2 linked regions of the Caenorhabditis elegans genome follow. The protein of the gene in region 2 interacts with the protein of the main gene of each other region in a pairwise test. Each region holds a gene or a part of one and is shown on either strand. Other genes may lie near its edges.

Region 1 (11,614 bases), on a different chromosome or scaffold from region 2:
CTCAATAAATTTAATGGGGTCTATCAAGAAAAGGTTATGAACACAGATTTTCTTGTCGATATTATCAGAATTTAAGAACAAAATATATTAATAAACTGTTATGCTTTGCACATCTTTTGAAGTATCACAATTTTTCGTCATTGCTGGATGTCGTAGGTTTTTTACTTTCTAAAGCTATATCTTTAGTTTCCTATTCATGTGAAAGATTCGTATATCTGAAACTTCGCTTGTATATCTGAAACCTCGCTTGTTAATAGCCAAACATGTCAAACGTAAAGAATGAAACTTAAAAACTCTGTCAACGGAATAAATACAGTAATAACCCCTCTTTTTGATGTGTGGTGTCCACGAGAAGTTATATTGTCCCCGGTTGGTATAGCAATCCAACGTGGGTAGTCGTTCACTAGCCGTTCACTTACGTAGATTTCTCTCAAGAATAGTGAAGGATCTCAAAACAGAATGAAATAGCGTATAAAAGTGTTAGTGTCGATGGTCGTTAAGTGACTTCCTCAAATCAGTTATTATGTTTTGATACTATCTATGTACATTAAAATTAACTTGTTATTGTCTACGTTTTCGTTTTTTTTTCATCCCTCATGAATTAGATGCCTACTTAAAATGAGCTGAGTATTCAGTTTCACAAACTATCACTGAACATTTGATTATGGCTCTCTTCTTCTGGAGAGATGTTTTGGAGTATTTTAAATATTTTTGTGTCGGTTGTTCAGTTTTTCTTAACACAGTGTTGATTATTCTTGTCTTATTTCGATCACCACACTCTTTAGGGTTTTACAAGTATCTTATGACCTACATTTACGTTTTTGACCTTTTTTACGCGGTGTGGGATATAATCACTAATCCAACAGTATACTCATACGGGCCGGCTTTTGTGGTGTTTCGAAATTATGATAATTCTATGTTCACTCGAGAAATGAGTTTTTATATGGTTCTGGTCTATTGTGGATGCTTTGCTTTTTCATTGGCATGTTTTGGAGTTCATTTCATGTATCGTTATGGAACAGTTAACAATGATTTCCGTGAACGGTTTTTGTCAGGGAAAAAGATTTATATAATATTTGCGGTACCAATCCTGTGTGGAAGTTGGTGGAGTGTAATCAGTGGAGTGGCATTTTGTTTCGATGAATATTCAGACGAATATTTAAGGTTTGTATTAAAATAACTTTACATTACATTATCAAATTTCGAATCAATTTTTAGCCAACTTAACCCAATTTGTTTGATTTTCAGAGATGCTGTTAAAAACGACCTAAACTTTAATATTTCTAGTTTGGCCAGCATGGTTATATTTTTCTACCTGCCTGATGAAAACGGAAAACTTCATCCTCATTGGAAAACATTTTTGGTCATGACTAGTATATATACTATAACAGTAAGGAATTTTTTTGTATTACGAAATCATCTTTATTTTCAGTTTGTCTCTATTTTCAGTGTAATTTTTTGCGGTTTTAAATGCTATAATTGCATTTTGCAAGCTATGTCAATTACGACGGTCCAATCAAAAATCTCGAAAAGTCTTCAGCACCAGTTACTCAAAGCATTAGTGATTCAGGTTTTTGAAAACTACCTAGAAAATTTAGCGTTAAATCAATATTTCATACTCTCATTCCAATGGTATTGATGTATATACCGCTATTCTTCGTGTTTGCTCTACCTCTTTTTAATATAAATTTTCCATATGCGAGTACTGCTATATCTGCAACAATTTCCATTTACTTAGCCATTGATCCTCTACCAAGTATGTTCATTATCAAAGCTTATCGAAAAGCTGTACTGGGTAAGTTAACTAACAAATTGGACGCGTGTATAATTGTTTTTCAGAATTATTTGCAAAGCTTCTATCGCTAATCTGCACTTGCATCAAATTTCAGCCTAGACGGGCTCAATAAAGTACAACAGCTTGATAATCTTTTGACGTTTTTTTTTTAAAACTTGACTAACACATTTGACGTCTAAACATTCATTCGATTACCACATTCAAATAATTTGTTTATACAAATCTTCCATCGAATTTCTTCAGATCTTCAGAAAAAAAAAACGAAATAAATTAAGAATAAATGAACCTATTCACTTCAATGATTTTTGTCTTTTTTGCACTATCAACTGTACTAACAGAAAGTGAAATATTCTCTATAGAAATTCTAACCGATACAGAATTTGGTGATGATTATTATGAAAGTTCCACAAACTCCAGTTTGGAAGTTTATTAATTCTTTCGTATGTATGTTTTCATTATAAAAAATGTTATTTCAAGTTTAATTTCAGGACAATGACTTGCGAAACAAAAACCCGGGACATTCAAGCGAAACAATGAAAAGTTATATAATCGTTTTGTGATCATTTCAATTTTTGAATCAATAAAATGTTATTCTGTTCCGACATTTCTCAAGCATCGCATGCTAGCACACGTCACTGTTTTATTATTCCGAAAAATATAGAAACATGGCTTTATGAATAGTTTTTCGTACTGTTTAAAAGTTGTATTAAAGTTTGTTCTTCTGTAATATTTCATTTTTTAGTTTTCCAAACCACAGCTTGAAGATAAAAATTGAAAAATCAACTTAAGATTTATATAAATGTGTTTTTACAAAAATATCTACAAATATTAATACATTACGTAGGGAATTGCATCTTTTACATTTTGACATTGGAATGTGCTCATTGGAATGTGCCATGCTATACAAAATTATGTACTCCCAATTTTCAGGTTTATTACACTTGTGATGCGTTTTCTTGTTATCCTACTCATCGTAATTATCATCTTACCATTCGGTACTTTACAAATATTTTCTCTGCAAATACCAGAAGAAGTACGATACTACTCAGATATCGATGTTACCACAAAACAACAGAAAATGTTCTGTGAGTCAATTGTCAAAAATTTTATCAACTTGAATGTGTTTTCAGGAATAAACCGGCGGCAAAAATGATTAATCGTTAATGATTACAGTTCAATTTTATATAAACTTCTTTCTACGAAAATGAATCAGATTTTTACCTAAATGATACACATAAAATTCTGGACAACACATAATAAACTAGAAATGCAGCAGGGAATCCACGAACGGATTGGCTCCGGAGTCCAATGAAGCACGCCTCTGCATCATTATTTTTCAACGCACTTGTTCAAAATTGAAACTTTATGCTTCTTTTAGTGGGCTTCTTTTAGATAAAGTTTTTCGTTTTTCGAACAACAATTCTGAAAAAAAAATTGTTGTTTTTTTAATCTTAATTTTTAGCATGATTACGGACAGACAATGATAGTAAGAACAATATTACCTTTTTTCGTTAAAAAGTGTCCTTTTTACAAAAGGATTATACTCAATGTCTTTTTCAACTAAGGTGGTCTTCTCTATGAAGTTCAAGTCGGAGACAGAATGCAAAAGTCTCACGTTAATCAGATTCGGACTCGTTATGGTGACTACAGTCGTGAAGACATTTTTGAGGAAACTATCTATCCTCTGTTCTTTTCGACTCCAGGAAAGTTTACTAGCTGTTCAGACAATAAGTCAAGTTCCGGGGCCACAGGGGAGAAACTAATCTTTTTGATTCTTCAGGCTCGTCTGTTAATCCTAGATTGTCTTCCGATTCTTTTGGTTTTGTGGGGGAGAGTGGCGGTGATGAGATGTCCCGCAATGATGATCCAATTGTTACTTCGAATGGTTCCAGTATTGATGTTAATCGTGGAAGCCGAATCACAAGTGAACTAAAGAAGAAAGAAAGCAATGCAGTCAGAGGACAGCCACGTGGATCCTGCTCTCCAACCAACAACGACGTTTCGGCGCCCAGATACGCCTCACGTTCTCACTCGACCACCGAACCAAGCCATTCCGTAAGACGAAGTTCGCGAATTCGACGAGTACCGGACAGATATCCGCGTGGGTCGACATCCACACAGCTCGGTCAAGCCTCCACTCGCAACGGATGTCGATATACAGCTTCTGGTCGAAACCCCTCTTGCCAAGGGAATCGCTATTCGTCAATAAGGGGGGAAGGTGTTACGTGTTCGCACTACTTCGCGATAACAACTCGACAATAAGAAGCACATGAACTCTCGAACTCTCTTATTATTATTTCACGTATTATCCACATGTACATTCCTTGATCGAATCTATCATATTCGATCATTCCTCACTATTCTATCATACTGCACTCTTCTGCTTTCTAATAAAGCTCTTCTATTATTATTACAAAATATATAACATTTACTCTCTGGCTTCACCGTATTTTTTACTCTCGGGCTTCACCGTATATTTTACTCTCTGGCTTCACCGTATATTTCCCGAACTTTACCAATAATCTTAGAAAAAAATTGTCTATTCAGGGCCATATCAAGTCTCCCAAAATTCCAAAATTTTTTTTTTGTAATTTCGTCAAGGTATATGCCTGTAAAAAATAATTCGGATACAGAAACCCCTCTAGCGTGGCTTAAATTTAATTTCCAGGTCCCGAACTTTACCAATAATCTTAGAAAAAAATTTTCTATTCAGGGCCATATCAAGTCTCCCAAAATTCCAAAAATTTTTTTTTGTAATTTCGTCAAGGTATATGCCTGTAAAAAATAATTCGGATACAGAAATTCCTCTAGCGGAGTTCAAGCAGAAAAAGTGGATTTTCAGTCATACCTTTTAGTGCACAGTTTGAGAATGACTAAAAACGACCATGCAAAATTAGTAGATTTTCCAATTTTCAAAAATTAGAATCTGGCGTCAAACTAACTTTTTCAAAAATCCTGTAGCCATTTTGTTGCAAATTTTGTGTTCTTTCAGAATTTCGAAACCAAATTCAAAAAAGTGTGAAGCCAGGGAGTAAAATATTCTGTAAAGCCAGAGAGTAAAATATTCTGTGAAGCCAGAGAGTAAAATATACGGTGAAGCCAGAGAGTAAAATATTCTGCGAAGCCAGAGAGTAAAATATTCTGTGAAGCCAGAGAGTAAAATATACGGTGAAGCCAGAGAGTAAAATATACGGTGAAGCCAGAGAGTAAAATATTCTGCGAAGCCAGAGAGTAAAATATTCTGTGAAGCCAGAGAGTAAAATATACGGTGAAGCCAGAGATTAAAATATTCTGTGAAGCCAGAGAGTAAAATATTCTGTGAAGTTAAAGGCATGAAACTAAATACTCAAGATCGTCTTTTGTACATTACACTTCCAATTTAAGACTTACAGTTCCATTTCTTGCACTCCATGCAATCGTTTCTCCAGAGACGTAGTCAACTTCTGCAGAGTAGTGCACAATTTCAGTATAACTTTCCTCTTTTCCTTCACAATTACTAAACTCTTGTATGTCATTAGGTCTAGATGTCTTGGAGCTTACGTTCTGTATCGTCGTTCCCCTTCACTCCACTTCGTATGCGCAGCACCGTGAAAACAGATTTTCAAGAATCGGGCAGTGATTGGCTCGTTGGATCTCAAAACAACCTGCCCAGTAACAGTTTGACCTGGTGCATAACCTCTCGGGCTATCGAACACAATTCCAAAGTGATCCATATGTTCCATATCTAAACTAAAAAGATACAAGGAAATTTAGAATTTTAATTAAGGAAAATGTTGTATGATTATAAAATGAATGAAAACTGATAAAATGAAGTGGTTATCAAATAAATTGCCGTTTTATAATATAAATATGATTTCACAAAAATCAAATAACGCACGGTATAAGACTGATGACGACATTTTACCTCCTGATTACGCGTTTTGAGTCACAATATATTATAAAACGGCAATTTATTTGATAACCACTTCATTTTATCAGTTTTCATTCATTTTATAATCATACAACATTTTCCTTAATTAAAATTCTAAATTTCCTTGTATCTTTTTAGTTTAGATATGGAACATATGGATCACTTTGGAATTGTGTTCGATAGCCCGAGAGGTTATGCACCAGGTCAAACTGTTACTGGGCAGGTTGTTTTGAGATCCAACGAGCCAATCACTGCCCGATTCTTGAAAATCTGTATTCACGGTGCTGCGCATACGAAGTGGAGTGAAGGGGAACGACGATACAGAACGTAAGCTCCAAGACATCTAGACCTAATGACATACAAGAGTTTAGTAATTGTGAAGGAAAAGAGGAAAGTTATACTGAAATTGTGCACTACTCTGCAGAAGTTGACTACGTCTCTGGAGAAACGATTGCATGGAGTGCAAGAAATGGAACTGTAAGTCTTAAATTGGAAGTGTAATGTACAAAAGACGATCTTGAGTATTTAGTTTCATGCATTTAACTGATAACAAACTACAATATTGTTACAGGAAAAACTTCCATCTGGCCACCATGTCTTCCCGTTTGCATTTCCACTCCCGATAGAATGTCCACCTAGTTTTGAAGGTTTCCACGGCCACGTTCGTTATTCCGTGCGAGTTGAGCTTGACAGACCATGGAAGTTCAACAAAAACGAAAGGGAAGACTTCAAAGGTATTTCGAAAATTGTTAATGTGCGCAAAAAGTTATTTTTCAGTTATTCCCAACTTTGACTTGAATCATCTTCCGTTGGGAAATGTTCCTAGAATGATGAAGGATGTGAAGGACATTGGGCAAATATTTAAAAAAGGAATAGTAACAATAACTGTGAGTACAACGCTGCTACATTGATAGGTTATTTAATGCTTTCAGGTAACTATCCCCAAAGCAGGATATGCTCCTGGAGAATACCTGCCAATCACAATCGACATTGACAATGCTTCCAAACGTGCAGCAACGTTTGTGCGAGCTGAACTTCATCAGCACTCGCATTACAATGCTAGCAAAAACCATGGCCTCTTATGCACTCATTCGTCTTACCACGAACATCACAAGGATGAAAGCAAACGTATTGCAGAAGCTCGAAAAAGCATAAAAATTGCTCCAAAAACCGCTGGCCGTGAAATGCTGCGGATGAAAATCCCAAAGTCGCCACCAACATTTACAAGTCCCATTATCAGCATTGAGTATTGTCTTTCTGTGAGGTTGGACACTTTAACAACCCTTAATAATACATTGCACTGCGAGTTTGATATCATCATCGGCACAGTGCCAATAACTGAATCGATCGTGGAGCCAACGGTAACTACCTTTCCGTCTGATCCACCTGTCCTTGAGCGGCTGGATTCCTAACCTCCAGCCTATTCAACTGTGGTTCCAAGTGCTCCGACCGATGATACAGCGGGAACATCCGCTCTACCGCCGTCTTATGAGGAATCAATGTGTGTAACTAAAATTTAATTGGGTATTTTATTTTATTTTTTCTTGTATAATTGTGAATTAATAAAATTCTGGCCATTTACATTAGTCAATCAATTTTCTTTCTCTATTGCTAAACATTGAGTTTCAAAAATATTCATTTGGCAAAAAATAAGGTAGGGTAGATTCAAAAAACTATAAGGATGAATTGTAAATTACAAGTTTATTACAATCAACAGATAAGTTTAAAAAAAAACATTTCAGAAAATAATATGAGGAGTAGTGATATTCGAGATTGACGGTGAATTTTTATAGACAATTTTACAGGATTTTTTTGTGAGCCACTTTTTGTGCAGTAGTGAAACAAGATAACAGTGCAACGACGACAGCAACTTATTCTAAAAGATAGGAAATGTGAGTGGTTGTCCGGCCATAGACATTTGGACAATCTGCTTTAACAAAGACAGTACGTTGAGCAAGGCAGAAACGCTCAATAATTTCCGATTTCTTGGCCACAAGTTTGGCGGCAAGTCTTTGGCGAACACCTTTATTGTCTTCCTCTGCGTGTTTGTATTCAGATCTTTGCATTCGACGAGCTTTACGTCCTTGCTTTGCCAGAATGTGCTCAACCTCCTCTTCTGATTTTCCCTGAGCAATTGCTACAGCCTTCATCTCTCTTACAATTCTGGCTTGAACAATGTCCAATTGTTCCATGCGATTTCTGGTTTTAATCTCTAGATACTTCTCGAGATATTCCTCAACTTTTAGTTCATCCTTGTCAATTCGATGCTGAAAATTGCTTTTTAAATTTATACATCGTAATGTTTAATTTATATTAACTTTTTTATGATTGTATGCTAATTGTTTAGTCTTAGGATGTCTTCGGCCTGACCCTTTTTCGGTACTACATATGTATTAAACGTTTTTATAACACTCACTAAAAAGAGCTGAAGCTTGGTCCTTCCAGCGCACCACTTTTCCTCCTCGTGTTGTTTTTTGTTGCGGCAGAACGCACAGTTACCCTTTGAATCGATAATTTTCTTATTGGCCAGCAGGGCAGTGACCATGAGCTCGATCGTGTTGCGTTGAAGACAGATCATCAAAAAGGCGCTCTCCGCTTTTTTCTGAAATAAGTTTTAATACAATCATTAGGATACTTGGTTTTGGCTGGAACCATAATATGATTTTTCCGAAAAAAAAACATACCTGTGGAAGAGTCATATTTTTTGTTTTCTTGCAGCAATAACTGTCCTTCAAGTAGTTGCAGATTTTGAGACACTTCATGCAATGCAAGTCTCCCGGTCCTCCATCAATCTCCATAACGTAGGTCTCAGCCGACATTTTTCTGAAAGTAAGTCATTGATAAAAAAATTGTCAAAAAACTAATAACACAAGAGATGAGTAAGCTTAGTGTATAGCCAAAAATAATTCCCCCTCAATATTGCTATGGTATCGCACGCATTGCAAGGGAAAGAATAAACTAGGCAACGCGGTCGTGCACTGCGCGCCGCGTAGCGTGCAGAAGTGAGCGACAACGAGAGAATAACAAGGCAGCCGAGAGAGGATGGCCGAGAAATCGATTTGCCCATTTGACTAGCAGTAAATATGAGATAGCAATAGGAGGGAAAGAAGCAAATTGCGTAGTGGAATAAAACAAGAGAGATTAGTAACTGGAGTACACATAAATTGTTGATCAATAAATTTTAAACAGCGGAAAAATAAAACAGTCTAGTATGTTGAAAATAAGAGTTGCATGCAAGACTTTTTTTCGTTTAGTCATTTTAATTGGAAATGTAAATTTAGTAAAAATGCGGTAATTTAATTCAAGCAAAAAAATTAGAATTGAATAATTAAAAACACGAACACTTTTTTGCTCGAAGTACGGAATTGTGATCACTAATACACAATTAAGAGTCTATTTATTTTATCGCTTTGTTATACACCAGTTATTATAAACCAAACATAAAACTTTATTATTGAAAGAATTCCGAAAATCGATAAATCCCACAAAATAAGAAGTATACTGAAATACCAAAAATATCAAGGTTTAAATCACATAGACTACTTCCAAAATTTCGATCAACGACAGTGAAATATACGTATATATATATAATCAATTTTCCAAGAAAAATAACGACTAGACCTGTAGCACAAGGTTGACTTTAATAAATTGACACAGATGTAGTAGAAAATGTGCTACATAGTGTGAAAATGTTTTGAGATCAATAGAGAAAAAATATCAAAATCTCCTTCTTATGCATTAGAACAATTAGTAGCCCTATAGTTTTCTGGGATTGTTTCCTCATCAAAAGTCGGCTCATCTTCTACGTAATCCGTTTCATATTCGTCCTCCTCTTCAAATTCGGTATCATCTGAATCATTGGATTCGTCTATCAATTCCTTTTCTTCACGGTTTTCATCCACATCAGAACCTTCCAAATCAGTGGATTCGCCATTATCATCGTCTGCTTCCTCATCTTCATCTTCCTCCTCGACCCTTCTCCGTTTGTTTGGCAAAGAGTAACCAACATCGACAGTAGTTGAATCAAGCTCTCGTTTTCTTAGATATCGATTAAAACTGTCATCGATAAGTTCACGAACTTCGTCTAAATAGTGTTGATTTTTTTCGTCAAAGTGCTGTTTCAAATCGTCATAGCATACACTCCCGGATTCGATGTTTGGCACCTCTTCTGTAGCTGGTTTTGACAATCTGCCAGTTTTGATTTTTATGATATGCTCATCCAAAACATATTGTTGGAATAAAGTGCCAAGTTGCTCATTTGAATGCATCAAATTGTTGAAAAGAGCGCCGGTGTGGTTCTGAAAATTTATATTATCTGTCAATTTGTAGCATAATTGTTTCTCAAAAAATACTTTTTAAACTATATGAGTTTTCTTAACTAAGAAATAAGAAATAGAAGTAAGTAAAATTTTCTTTGACATTTTTCTTCAAATTATCCTCTTAACTGAACATGTGTATTTTTTTGATAAACTTTTCATTTTTAAATACTTATTAACCGACTAACCGCAAATTTAGAGAATTGATAATTAAACCGACGGCATCTTCTCATGTGCATTCTACAAGCTTGTACGTTTTCAAATTGTTCCTTGCAAAGTCCACATTTAAGATCCTCTTCCTGATTGGAAGCCCCACAAAACATAGCCAGATGATTTTGAGACATAAGTAGGCGATTAGCGTGTTGATGTACTTGGTACTAAAAAATCTGATAAAGCTGAGAGGCTATATAGGATTTGAAAATCCTTACATGTACGTCACGTTCTGCATTTTTGAGACAAACATCAATATGAATAGCGAAGGAATTTTCAGTGTTGAACTTTTCATCGCATTTGGAACATTGCAATTTGTACATATCTGGAAGAATGTTTGTATTATTATAATGTCAGTTTAAAACAATTTTTCTTTCAAAATAAACTAACCCATTACAGTCCCGCACGTTTCTATTTTAAGCGGCTGCTGCCAAATATCAAATATTCGTTTTGGAATGTCGGCCATTCTGAAAGATATAAAGGTGAAAAATCAGAAAATAAAATAAGAAACATAATTAGCGAGATGAACAAGCGAAAACTTGATATCAGCTGATGTAGATCGCAAAATAAAACAAGATGTGACGGAAAGAAATTGGATGGCAAACGAGAAGGAAGTGAGGACAAGGAAGTCACGAGAGAAATCAACTACGGGAAATAAGTGAGAACGACAGTTGGGCGTGCGGCAAAAATAAATAGGGTCCTGTTGTTATTTTCAGCAAAATATATTTACAAAAAGCTTGCAATTTATTTGGGGCAAAGATCAGAGGATAAAAATAGTCATTTTTGTTAATATAATTAATAAGAAGCATCGAATAAGTTCCACATTATCATAAGTACGTTTACTAAAAAGAAACAGAAACATATTAATGCTTCCTTTTGTTAAATTTAAAACAACTTTCCAGCCTTAATCTAAGCTTTCCCACAGTTTTGTACAGTAGTTTTAATTTCAGCAATAGTTTAAATCAAATCAAAATAAAATTTTGGATATTTGTTAAAAGTTATAGTGAACAACCTGAAGCGAATATATGGAAAAAAGATGTTTTCAACTTAAAAAAGTTGGTGTGAGGTTGGACAAACATATCATTTACTAAACCATGAAAAAACCATTTTGAAAATCTAGTAAAACTCTAGAGAAACTGATAGTTGCAAGAAATGAACACAGAAAGGTGTAGTCAGTCACGAGTCGATTAATTACCTGCCACATCAATTAATAGCTATCACTATCAAGATCGTTAATCGAGATTGCGGATCAGTAGAAAGTTTAGCGGAATGAGGTCAATCAACATTCCAATCAAACATACATAAGAAGCGTTCGAGTTCCTACGCACTTATCATTTGCAAGACGCATTGTTTCAAGACGGTTTGGCTAATGCTTACACACAC
Region 2 (12,704 bases):
CTTCCAGAATATTAAACTTTCCACTCAAGAAGCTTCCCAAAAGAAAAAAAAACGAAGCTGTAAATTGAATTGTCAGATTCGGATTTCGGAAATTCTTTGAAAAAAAGACACTTTACTTTTTTTCTTTCTTTTTGTTAGTGAAAGCTACTCCCGAGAAAAAAAAGTTCCGGAAAAATTTGCATAATCCGCTTCTCCATTCAAAAGTGCTCTGGCAGAAAAAAAGGAAGCTATTGCTCTAGAATTTTAAAATTTCCGGGTTTTTTTAATTAGAAATTTCAAAAATTCTTAACAATTTGCAAGTGCGCTCCACCGCACAAATGGCCAATTTCGGGGATTCTATAGTAACTTTTGTTTTTGTTATATTTAAATTTTTTTCAAATGAAAAAATATGAAGCTTCGAGTGAGACTGAAATTTTCGAAGAAATATAAGTTTAAATCAAGAAAAAAAGGTTTTTGGAATTTTTAATGCTTTGAAAAACAACAAAAAATCTAGAAGCTAAATAGATTGACGTCAATCCTGATAACGATAGACAAAAGAAAAGATGGAGATTTAGAGAAACGAGAAGAAGTCAGAAGTGTGTGTGTGTGTGCATGGATATTATATGTAATTCCATAGGAATTTGAACAAATTGACTCAGAAGCATACATTTGTGAGAGAACGTGACATTTGAGATTGTATCAAATTGCTTACTTGACATTATGAGCTTGTGCTGAAAATTTGAGTTTTCAGAAATTGCGAAAAAAAAAATTGTGTTGGATTTTTTTGTTGAAAATTTCTGAAGAATTATCTAAAACTTGTAAAAACTCAAACATTTCTTTAAATTTTGTACAAAAAAGGGCCAAGGATACTACTGCCACTTCTACAAAAAATTCAGTAGTACGGTCGAGCGCGATTTCATGTGACGAAAATTTAAAATATTTGGTTTTTGTGAGAAATTTCCAGTAATTTGCAACTAGAAAAGGTAGGGCTTTTAATTTTTTTTTCTTCTAATTTTTGAAAAAAAAATTAAATTGCTTTTCATCCAAAATTTGCCGAAAAACTTTTTATAAATTTCAAAATCTAGACTCCCGCCAAAAATCCTTCAGAAAACTGAAGAGCCCATTGCGTGTCAACCGTTGAGCACCAACAAAAAATCGCAAAAAATGTGCTCACAGAGCTCCTACAATTTTCAGATAATCGACGGCTTCTGACTTGTCGCGCTGGGAAAAAAGATACAAAATATATTTATGCGAAAACTATAATTTTTAGATTTTTAGAAGAAAAAAAAACAAAGAGCTTTGGTGTTTTGGGCAGCTCCAAAAGCAGATTTTGTGGGAATTTAAATTTTTATTCTAGAGGAAAATGCGCTCCAATGCACTACCAGACAGTTTTGCAGGGTTCTATAATAATAAAGGTTCCGAAAAAGAACATCAGACTTTGCGGGGGGTCAGTCGAGTAAATAAGAAAAGAAAAAAAAGAAGACACGCTGAGTACGGAGGAAGTGGTCCGACAACTCCCTCATGTCCAAATGTCTTCTTTTTCTTCAGAAATCGAATCAGACACCCTTCTACGACTCTCCTTTTATCTGTAAAAGCTCTGAAACTTGATCCAATTTTTCGAGGAGCTCAGGGAGCTCCTTTGTGCCTAGAAACCTTGAAAATCTTGAAATTCTGACGAAAAAAACTTCGCCATGGGAGAAAAAAACGACGCTGCCATTTCTTGATTCCCGTCTGATAATTGCATTCACTTTTTCTTTTTGGTCTTTTTTTCTTTGCTCACTGCGTGCCCTCGTGATGATTTGGCGAGCTGATTTGAATAATGGGACTGGGAAAAATTGTCGAAAAGTTGCCGAAATTAGCAGAGAAAGCTGGCAAGTTTCTGCCAAATTTTGCCGACAACTTGCTGAAAGTTACAGAACATTGTCAAAAGTTGTTGAAACAGCTGCTGAAAGTTGCCAAAAATTTTCAGAACGTTAAAGAGGGAACTGCCAAAATGCTGCCAACTTTTGCCGGAAAGATGTTGAAAACTGCAGAAAAAGTGTAGAAAATTGCCAAAAAGTTGCCGAAAGCTGTCACATCAGTTGTCGAAAATTGCAGAAACTATGTCGAAAGTTGCCGAATAGATGCAGAAACAATGATGAAAGTTGGCAAAAGTTGTCGAAATTTGTCGAAAGTTGTCTGAATTTGCCAAAATGACAGTTGAAGTTTTCAACAAGCTACCGGAAGTTGCTGCCAAAATTTGCCGGAAAGTTGCAGAACGGCGCCGAAAATTTGTTTAAAACTACTGAAAAGGTGTAGAAAGTCGCCACAACAGTTTTCGAAAATTACAGAAACGCTGTCGAAAGTTGCGAGAAATTTTCAGAAAGTTGCAGAGAAAGCTGGCAAGTTTCTGCCAAATTTTGCGAGAAATTTGCCAAAAGTTACAGAAAATTGTTTAAAGTTGTTGAAATAGCTGCAAAAAGTTGCCGAGAGATCTGTCTTAGTTGGTGTCAATTCAATTCTTGCTAACAAAAAATTGAATTTAACTAATTGTCAAAAAATTTCAAGAAGTTGCAGAAAAGTTGCCAAAATGTTGGCGAGAGTTGCCGATTAATTGTAGAAAAATGTACAAAATGTTCAAATCTGTCGGATCACTTCAGAAAAGTCGGCGAAAGTTGTCGAATGTTCACGTGTGCATATACAGTTTAAAAAAAATTTCAAAAACTATGCTCAATGAGCAGCTTCAAACTAGAATTTCATCAAAAAAACAGAAGAAAAATCTGGCAAAATGTCAATGTCAATCAAAACGACCTAGCTAGCCAGCAGGATAATTGGATCAAGCATCACAAGATGACGGAGCAGCTCAGAATTTTTTTTTGCTTTTTCCTATTTTTACTCAAAAAAAATAGGGGAGAAGTTGCTCACTGCTTTCCGGAGAAGCGGAAACAGTGTGAAAAGAAGAAGAAACGGGGAAGAAGCTGTGACAGACAAAAAACAAGAAATTCGACAAGTCTCTTGGGGTGAGAAGCAAACCGAGAAGCCCCCTTTGCTCGCCGAGCACACAAGCTTCTCATATTTTTCTCACGTTTCTTTTCGAGAATTTTCTATCGACCCCTTTCAGAAGAGATTTTCAGAAGAATTTCCAGGAAAATGAGCAAAAAATTGGGATTTTTCGTGGTTTTATTGCTGCTCGTCGGGGTATTTTCTGGTGAGTTTTGGGTTGAAAGTACAGGAAATTTGAAATTTTCGAATTATTATCGACTCCCCAAAAACTATGTTTGTGCAACGGAGCGCAGTTACACTAAAATTTTCAAAATTTTGAGAAAACTCGAATAGAGCAGTAGAGCGCACTTGCATTAGATGGGACACTGGAAGTTAAACGTCGTGTACTCCACACGGACAAGTTCATTGAGTTTTCCGGGCCGCGACGCAACACGCGACGCTCCGTAAATCGACTCCAGCGGTGGTCGAGCCAAAATGGCCTAATTCGGCAAACTCTTACATCGCATTTGATAGAGCCAATAATTTTGTCCAGCAGTTCAATAGAGCGTGATTGCTTTGAAAATTTGAAGAAAAACCTGGAGTTCGAATTTTGAAAATTATTATTGATTCCACAAAAAATTATCTATAGAGCGCGATTTCAACTTTTTTTTCTAAAAAAAAGTTTTTCAGCCCAAATCCGGATCCCCCTCTTCGGCGGAATCATCACTATCAATAACAATTTCGAAAAAGTAAGGCCACCAAATTTCCCGGGAAAAAAAATCAATACTATTTCCAGAAACCTACCAACAGCACTGAAAAATTCACTGGCTCCACTGTGAAAAATGGGTCCGTGGAGAATTTCGGTAAACTTCAAGTTTTTGCTTTAAAAAAACTGTTTTCCAGAATTTTCCACAAAACCGCCGAAAACTCCGTCCCAACAACGTCCGAAATCGGCTGTTCTGAATGCACTTCTCTCAATGTTTGGACGTTTCTAGCAAATGCGCTCTGTTGATAAACTTTTGCGCGTCAATTGTGGTGTCATTGTATTGCTTGTGTAAATAATTGCTTTTAATCAGTAATAAAAAAATAAATGCAATAATTTATTCCAAATCGAAAAAAAAATCTATTAATATTTCTTCACCAATCCATTTCCAAGTAAGATTTCAAAAACTTCTCGTGAATCTCCGTGAAGATCATGTCACAGTGACGGATTTCGTAGCGGAGCATCTGCAAAATTGGTTAAAAATCGATAAAACTCCTATTGAAATGTTTGAATAATCGCGAAAACACAGTATTTGACGCGCAAAATTGAAAAAAAAATACAACTTTGCGCGTAAGATATGGTGCACGGGAACACAAACTCACATCACGTTCATCGTTGACCTCCGAGCGTTTATTCTTCAACTTATCAAATTCTCCGCAAATTTTATCGATTAAATCGAATTTCGAAGTGATCAGATGAATGAGCTCTCCCTCGAGCACACAACGATGCCCAAGTGGGATTTTTCGCTCCTGAAATCCTAATACATCAAATCTGACGCAAAACTGCAGACTTACACAGTGCTCCTCCCAAATCTCCAATCCTTGGCAACTCTTGTCGAGAAGTTCGGTGAGAATTTCGAATCGATCTTCTTCGAGGCTACGATCCTCACGCGGGAGGGCCCAAAGCATCCGTTCGACACGTTTCACACGTCGTTCGAATTCCACGAAGCGTCGAGCCAGGTCGGGAAGGTACTTGGCGGCGATGGAATCCGGAACCTGAAGTGTCCAAATTTTAGAATTTTCAGATATGACGCATAGGCCGCGCTCTTTTTTGTTTTTGGCTGAAAATACAGTTTTTCTGCAATATTTTTTCTCGCCAAATTTGGTACATGGGCGTTATGAGGTGCAGGGGTGGACGGCAAACGATTTTTCCCGGCAAATCGGAAAATTGCCGGAATTGAAATGTCCGGCAAATCTACAAATTGCCCGAATTAAAAATTTCCGGCAAATCGGCAATTTTCTGAAAATAAAAATTTCCGGCAACTAGGCAAATGCCCGGATTTTTTCCGAAAATGAAAAATTCCGGCAAATCGGCAATTTTCCGAAAATGAAAATTTCCGGCAAATCGGCAATTTTTTGAAAATGAAAATTTCCAGCAAATCGGCAATTTTCTGAAAATGAAAATTTCCGGCAACCCGGCAAATGTCCGAATTTTTTCCTAAAATGAAAAATTCCGGCAAATCGCCAAACCGGCAGATTGCCCGAATTCAAAATTTCCGGCAAATCGGCAATTTTTCGAAAATTAAAATTTCCAGCAAATCGGCAATTTTCTGAAAATGAAAATTTCCGGCAAATCTGCAATTTTCTGAAAATGAAAATTTCCGGCAACCCGGCAAATGTCCGAATTTTTTCCTAAAATGAAAATTCCGGCAAATCGGCAAACCGGCAGATTGCCCGAGTTCAAAATTTCCGGCAAATCTGCAATTTTCTGAAAATGAAAATTTCCGGCAACCCGGCAAATGTCCGAATTTTTTCCTAAATAGAAAATTCCGGCAAATCGGCAAACCGGCAGATTGCCCGAGTTCAAAATTTCCGGCAAATCTGCAATTTTCTGAAAATGAAAATTTCCGGCAACCCGGCAAATGTCCGAATTTTTTCCTAAAATGAAAATTCCGGCAAATCGGCAAACCGGCAGATTGCCCGAGTTCAAAATTTCCGGCAAATCTGCAAATTTCTGAAAATGAAAATTTCCGGCAACCCGGCAAATGCCCGAATTTTTTCCTAAAATGAAAATTTCCGGCAAATCGGCAATTTTTTGAAAATGAAAATTTCCAGCAAATGGGCAATTTTCTGAAAATGAAAATTTCCGGCAACCCGGCAAATGTCCGAATTTTTTCCTAAAATGAAAAATTTCGGCAAATCGCCAAACCGGCAGATTGCCCGAATTCAAAATTTCCGGCAAATCGGCAATGTTTCGAAAATTAAAATTTCCAGCAAATCGGAAATTTTCTGAAAATGAAAATTTTCGGCAAATCTGCAATTTTCCTAAAATGAAAATTCCGGCAAATCGGCAAACCGGCAGATTGCCCGAGTTCAAAATTTCCGGCAAATCTGCAATTTTCTGAAAATGAAAATTTCCGGCAAACCGGCAATTTGTCGATTTGCCGAATTTGCCGGAAAACGACAATTGCCTCCCATCCCTGGTTCAATGCCCATGACAGAGACAAATTTTCAGGCAGAATTGTTGGGGCACTGCATTTCATCCAAAAATTCAAAAAAAAAATGCGCGTCAAATCTGGTGTATTTTGACTCTGCCCAACAAAGTGTGCTTACATCTTTCATGTTCTTGTAGACCGTATTCGCGTCCTTGGCCTTCAGCTCCTCATAAAACTCGGGATCCGTCCCATCGACCGGCTTATCGAGCCCCAACTCCTTCACAATGTCGTGAAGCGGAAAATCGGCGGCATCCGGGACACCCGGCGGCGGAGCAGCTCGCTTAGCGATTTCAGCGTCCAGAAGGTTCTGCTCCTCGTCGGACAATGGTGGAATCACCGAGTACTTCTGCAAAAAAAGAGCAATTCAAAATTCCCGGCTTGCAAAGTGCTCTCCAATTCTAATTCTCACCCGTGCCTTGATGTCCTGCTCGATTTGCTCGGCGCGGAGCAAGATGGCTTCCTTGTCCAAGTGAAGATCGCCGAGTTGCTCACAAATTTCGGTTTCCATGATAAAGGAAATGATTGATTTTTTGTGGTTCTTTTTTCTAGTTTAATCAAAATCGAACATTCTCGAAGTTTATACACGTTTTCCTGTCATTTGGGGTTTCACGCAAAAAAACCCTGATTTGAATTGCCGCGTTTTTAACGAGAGGTGCGCGCAAGCGCGCTCTAGTGAGACAGCGCGAAATGTTGATTTTCATTTTCTTTTCGGAGGGAAAATTTTCAGTTTTCGTGGTTTTTGGAATATTCCATGAAATCAGTTGTTCTCGATTTTTCTTCAATTTTCACAGATTTTATGTTAAAAATCGAATTATTCGCTTAATTTCTCACATTTTCCCATGAAAAATCATTGAATTTCCGTCATTTATCGATTTTTTTGCAGTAAAAATGGAAGAGAATCCTACTTTGGATGAAAACTCACTTCCATCCACATCGGCACCACCAGAGCCAATTCCAGAGCATAAGGAACATACGGAAGAACCAAAAAGGTTGGTTTTTACCCTCAATTCTCGATAAAATCTCTCAATTTCCAGACCTGCTCGCCGTCGTTCCTCGCTTGGCATCAAAATCATGAGCTCATTCATTAGTTCCGGCTCCGAAGACGTGATGAGCCCCGTTCAAAAGCGTGTACAGCCGAAACGAATGGCTCAGCTGAAAATCGCGCCGCTACCGTTGGTTCAGCCGCCGCCACCACCGAGAACTCGTGCTTGTCAGCGGCCGATTCGATATTCGGTGAGGATTTGAGCTGCGAAAGCTGAAAATTTCCAGATTTTTGCCGGAAAAGTGCCTCAAAAATGAAGATTTTGGCTGAAAATCAATTATTTTGATCGATTTTTGTATTTCAAAGGCTCATGAAATTCAAAAACTGATAAATGGGTCTCACAACGTTTTTTCAACGATTCTAATTTCAGTTCGACGTTGGAGAACGTGTCGCCGTGAAGCCATGCCTCAAATCCGCCACCAAAACGCCGATTCGAGTTCGTCCAGCTGACGGTGCGATGATCCCGCCACGAAAATCGCTGACCCAGCAGGCCGCTCAACGTGTGATGCAGAAATATCGTAGAAGCATGTCGAAAACGCCGCAAAAGCGTGGAACATCGGGAAAACTGAAGTTCAACAAGATATGCTCGATTCGAGTGATAACGCCGAGGCCCAATTATGTTAGTAGGCTGCGGAATAAGCTGAAAAATCGATTTTTTGCCGAAAAATCGCTGAAAGTCCCCGAAATTTTAAGAGAAAACACGTTTTTAGCGCGGTTTTTAACTGAAAAATGCCAGATTTTCGTTGAAAAAACCAAGTTTTCTCTCGGAAATCCGTGAATTTTCCAGTTTTTGGCGTTTTTAGTATTTTTAAAGCCAAAAATAAGTCTGAAATTACTGAAAATGGGCTTATTTTCACAAAAAGTACACTAATTTGACACTTTTTCACCCGAAAAACTTCACATTTTCATCAAAATCTGCAACTTTTCCCCGTGTACTCCTCTCGGACAATCTCTTTTTTTTGCAGAATCCAAACGATTTGGTGATGCCACACTCGGACGATGAGGAGGACACGATGAATCCGAACAGAGAACGCCTCAGCACAGTAAAACTCCGATTGACACCTACGTCACAGGCAAAGGTAAAAAATGGGTGGAGTCTAATATTGATTTTTTCTTCAATTTTTTCTTTCAGCTCGAGCAAATGCAATCGGAGGACGTTTTCCAATTCAACGCGGAAATGGTGTTCGGCGACGGAGGAGGAGGCTCTGCACCATCCACGTCATCAATTGCATCCTACTCGGCTGAATCTGTGACGGAGACCGCACTTGAGTCGGTGAACACGAAATCGGTGGAATCGAAAACGCGACCATCATCACGCCGGAAATCTCTCATCCTCGGCGCAGCGTCACCTCTGAAGTCGCCAGCGAAAATTGAGAAGCCGAGATTGGAGGAGCCAGAGCAAAAATCCAAGCGATCCCGTAGATCGCTTCGTCTGAATCCGGATGCCATAGAGCCTCCGGTGAAGTCGTGTGATTTGCTGGAAGACGAACGCGAGGAAAGCAGCTCGAAAAAACGAGAAAACCACGATCCCGGCTATGATCTGGAGCCCCTGGCGAAACGAGGACCTCTTAAATCGGAAATTCACAGCTTTTTCGCGCCGAGATCTGCCAAGAAACCTGTGGTGTCTCTGGATGGGGAAGCCGACTCCGTGGAAGTCAACTGTGTGGAAATGGCGGTGGAATCCGAGAAGAAACAACGCAAAAATCGCAGATATTCAGCGTACTTTGGATCTGCGGAAAAGGAGGTGGAATCTATTTCCAAACCACTTGAAGCTGAGAAGAAGAGATCGCGAAGATCCTCTGCATATTCCGGAAACTCCGTGGAATCGAAATCTCTGGAATCGAAATCTCTGGATAAGGAGGTGGAGCCTAAGGTCCGAACAGCTCGGAAATCAATGGCTGCAAAATCCGTGGAACCAAAAACCCTGGAAAAAGATGCCGAGCCATCTCGGAAATCTGAGTCTCCGGAAAAAACCGTGGAGCCTCCTGCAAAATCATCGGAAGAGATCAAAGAGGAGAAGAAGAAACTCAAAATCCGTAGATCTTCTGCGTACTTCAGAGTTGCGAAGCCCCTGCCCACTTCTGACGACGCAGCGCCGGAAACCGAGGAAGAAATTGTGGTTATTTCGAGTCCTGAGGCGCCGGAAAATGGGAAATTGGCGACGATTTTTTCGAAATCAACTCCAGTAGTGGGAAATAAGAAGATGCTAGAGCTGAAAAAGGCGGAGGTACACAATTTTTTAGATTTTTGAGAGAAAAATTAAGAAAATTCAATTATTTATTTCTAGAAAATCAAAAAATCGTCGAAAAATGATTTTTTTTGAAAGCTTTTTTTGGAAACTAACACTGGTTTTCTATTAAAAAAATTCGAAAAAGCCTAATTTTTAGCCGAAAAAGCCTTCTTTTTCTTAAAAACCCAATTTTCCAGACCAAATCAACTCCACCAACAAGCCAAAAGCCCAGCAGCTCCGGCCCAGTTTTCTCGATTTTCTCTCCAAAACCTGTGAAGCCTGCAGTCACTCCAAAAGTGACAACTCTATCGGATAGCCCAATGGGATCAGTTTCAGGCCCGCCGAGCTCCAGCTTCTCCAAAAAGAGCAACGGAGTCCGTCGAAAAGAGCATTGGGGAGATTTGTGCGCTGAAACCTATCAGTTTTTCGAGAAAATCCCAATTTTGCCAGCGATTTTCGAGGAATTCGCAGAAATCGACGATGGGAAGATCTTCAAATCTAGAAGTTTCGACCCAAAAATTCTAGATTCAACTGGGATTGTCTCTGAGCTTCAGGAGGATCTCCTTGAGCTCCATAAGCCCTACGAGCGAAGCCGGGAACTCACAATGGCTCAAAATCCGCCGGATTCATCGCTGGAAAAGCTGGAAGTGCCCCAAAATAGCTGCACAACAACAATATATCCGTCGACGATGGATTCACTGGTAGAAGGAGCCGAAGAAGAGCCAACGGTGCGGGGATGGCTCCGAAGATGGAAGCGTCGAGTGCGGAAAGCCATGGAGCGAGAGATTGCGGAGCAGCAGGGGAAGAAGAAAAAGAGGAAGCGACGGGATGAGGATCATGAATCCGATGAGGATTATGAAGTGGAGCATCAGGATGATGATCTGGAGAATCCTCTGGTGTTGATTGGACCGTCTGGAGTTGGAAAGACCGCCTTGGTACGGGATGAAGCTTGGAGATTTTCAGAAAAAATTGGAATTTTTGGAAAAAAATCAGAAACTTTTGAATAAAAAAGCTCTAATTCAGGGTTGCTCAGAAATCGGAAATTTTTGGCAATTTCGGCAATTGCCGGTTTTATATATTTTCGGCAATTTCTGCAATTGCCTGTTTTGAAAACATTCGGCAATTGCCGGTTTTGGAAATTTTTGACGAATTCGGCAATTTTTGCAATTGCCGGTTTCCAAAATTTCCAGCAAATTCGGTAATTGCCGGTTTTGGAAATTTTTGGCGAATTCGGCAATTTCTGTAATTGCCAGTTTTGAAAATTTCCAGCAAATTCGGCAATTGCCGGTTTTGGAAATTTTTGGCGAATTCGGCAATTTCTGTAATTGCCAGTTTTGAAAATTTCCAGCAAATTCGGCAATTGCCGGTTTTGGAAATTTTTGGCGAATTCGGCAATTTCTGCAACTGCCAGTTTTGAAAATTTTCGGAAATCGGCAAATTCTGCAATTGCCGGTTTTGGAAATTTCCGGCAATTCCTGCAATTGCCGGTTTCCAAAACTTCCGGCAATTACGGCACTCAAAAATGGTAAACTTCTTGTGTTTTTTCAACGAAAATTAATGTTAAAAAATCGTCTTTTTTTAAACGAAAACTCTAACATTTTCTGCAAGAAAAAAATCTGGTTTTCTCCAAAAATTTAAAATTTTTTGCAGTTCCGTGCTCTCGCCAAGCAAGAAAACATGCGTATAATCTCAATTGGCCCGGAAACCGGCAGAAGTGGCTCAGAGATCAAGAGAAACCTTCAGGAGGCTCTCCGTTCTCATCGTGTGGATCAGCAGCCGCATCCGACTCGTACCATCCCGTTTTACAAGACAATTCCGCGTGAAACTCCAGCACCACCACCACAACTGGCGCCAAAGGATTTTGTGCAGAGTCTAGTGGTCTTTGAGCATGTCGATGTGTTCTTTGAGACTCTCGATCGTCATGGGATCCTTGGACTTCTGGAAGCTGTGAATGAAGCTGCCGTGCCGGTTGTGTTCACTTGTGAGCAAGAATGGCCACGACGATGGGGACAAGTTGAGCTACGGAGGCCCCATTTGGAGATTTGCTTGAATAGAAATCAATGCAGAGTACAGAAATATGTACAGGTACTTCTAGAAATTTCAGAAACATTTTTAAGATCAAAATGATCAAAAATCGAATTTTCTACTAATTTCGGCTTAAAATGAAGCGGAAAAGACGCTAAAAAAATTTCCAGAAATTTCCAAAAAAACACATTTCCAGCGAAATTGTTCCTCTAAACCTCGGTTTTGGTGAAAAATTCCCGATTTTTTTTGGAATTTTGAGCTTAACTACTGAAAACTGGTTTCCAAAATTAATTTTTTTCGAATTTATAATATTTTTTATCAGATTGATTTCCAAAAAGGTGGAAAAAAAATTTAGCGAAAAATTTAAATTTTAAAAAAATTATTAAAATTCTTTTAATTTCAGAATCTCGTCTACTCGTGCCGTAACGTGATTATCGACGACGCGACGATCAAGCAGCTCTCCGAGTCCGTGAATCACGATCTGAGTGCTCTCCTCCATCAAGCTCATCTTTTCTCGCTGGCTCCACACCGCCCATTCCCACTTACAACTCGCCATCTCGTTTCAACCGGATTCTCCGAGCACTGGGAAAAGCCACGTTGCAGCTTAACCAAGACACAGGAACGAATGGAGGAGCTCTTCGAGCAGTACGCGGATGTTCTCCCAGACGGAGCAGTGGCTCTGAGCCGCTCACCGGGAGTGGAGAAACTATGGGATACGGATCGCCAGAAGCTCGCGGAATCTCAGGCTGGATATTCGGAAGGTGTCCGGAACGCTTACGAGGCTCTCAATGGACGATTTTCGCGGCGAGACCTGGTTCAAGATGTGCTCCCGATGCTCGTGCCAATGGATCGTGTCGAACGTCAGAAACGGGTCCGATCACGGCGACACTTGCATCGATTCAAGCAGTACTCGAAGGACTTCCCGATGGACGGAGATCAACTGATAAATGTGGTTGGCGGATGGAGCATGAGCCTTTGAAGCCAAGCATTTCTATTATTTTTCTGTCAAATAATTTATTTTTTTCCCATTAATTTATTTTTTCTGTATAATAGTTTATTTATTTATTTATTTTATTTTCAATTCCCCCAATACCGCAAAAATTAACATCGTTGTGAATGAAAATGGGGCAGCTTTAAATTTTAATTCCGTTAAAATTTGACACTCGACTTTAAAGGTACACACTATTTTTCTGAATGGGTCTCACCACGATCACAGCCACACGTTTTCTTCTTATAAGGTCCAGAAGAGACGCAGACATATTGGGGCCCA

The links.
Region 1: the proteins of Y53F4B.11 (region 2) and arrd-24 interact in a two-hybrid assay, tested with the Caenorhabditis elegans proteins (2 studies listed by BioGRID).

The regions. Positions count from the first base shown.
Region 1 is NC_003284.9:13,974,743-13,986,356, reverse strand, and holds arrd-24 (Arrestin C-terminal-like domain-containing protein), read left to right. Parts: upstream 1-5,839; 5' UTR 5,840-5,850; coding exon 5,851-6,032; intron 6,033-6,076; coding exon 6,077-6,182; intron 6,183-6,276; coding exon 6,277-6,439; intron 6,440-6,482; coding exon 6,483-6,592; intron 6,593-6,637; coding exon 6,638-7,117; 3' UTR 7,118-7,288; downstream 7,289-11,614. Other genes in the region: F48F7.6 (Zf-C4pol domain-containing protein), read right to left, coding at 7,577-7,972, 8,122-8,307, 8,390-8,524; F48F7.5 (C2H2-type domain-containing protein), read right to left, coding at 9,437-10,003, 10,210-10,398, 10,450-10,556, 10,622-10,697.
Region 2 is NC_003280.10:15,004,733-15,017,436, reverse strand, and holds Y53F4B.11 (uncharacterized protein), read right to left. Parts: upstream 6,690-12,704; 5' UTR 6,646-6,689; coding exon 6,547-6,645; intron 6,484-6,546; coding exon 6,256-6,483; intron 4,699-6,255; coding exon 4,498-4,698; intron 4,453-4,497; coding exon 4,306-4,452; intron 4,168-4,305; coding exon 4,078-4,167; 3' UTR 4,029-4,077; downstream 1-4,028. Other genes in the region: Y53F4B.51 (uncharacterized protein), read left to right, coding at 3,109-3,166, 3,631-3,689, 3,737-3,803, 3,844-3,935; Y53F4B.9 (AAA+ ATPase domain-containing protein), read left to right, coding at 7,026-7,126, 7,172-7,370, 7,550-7,798, 8,145-8,258, 8,312-9,406, 9,607-10,344, 11,060-11,494, 11,838-12,413.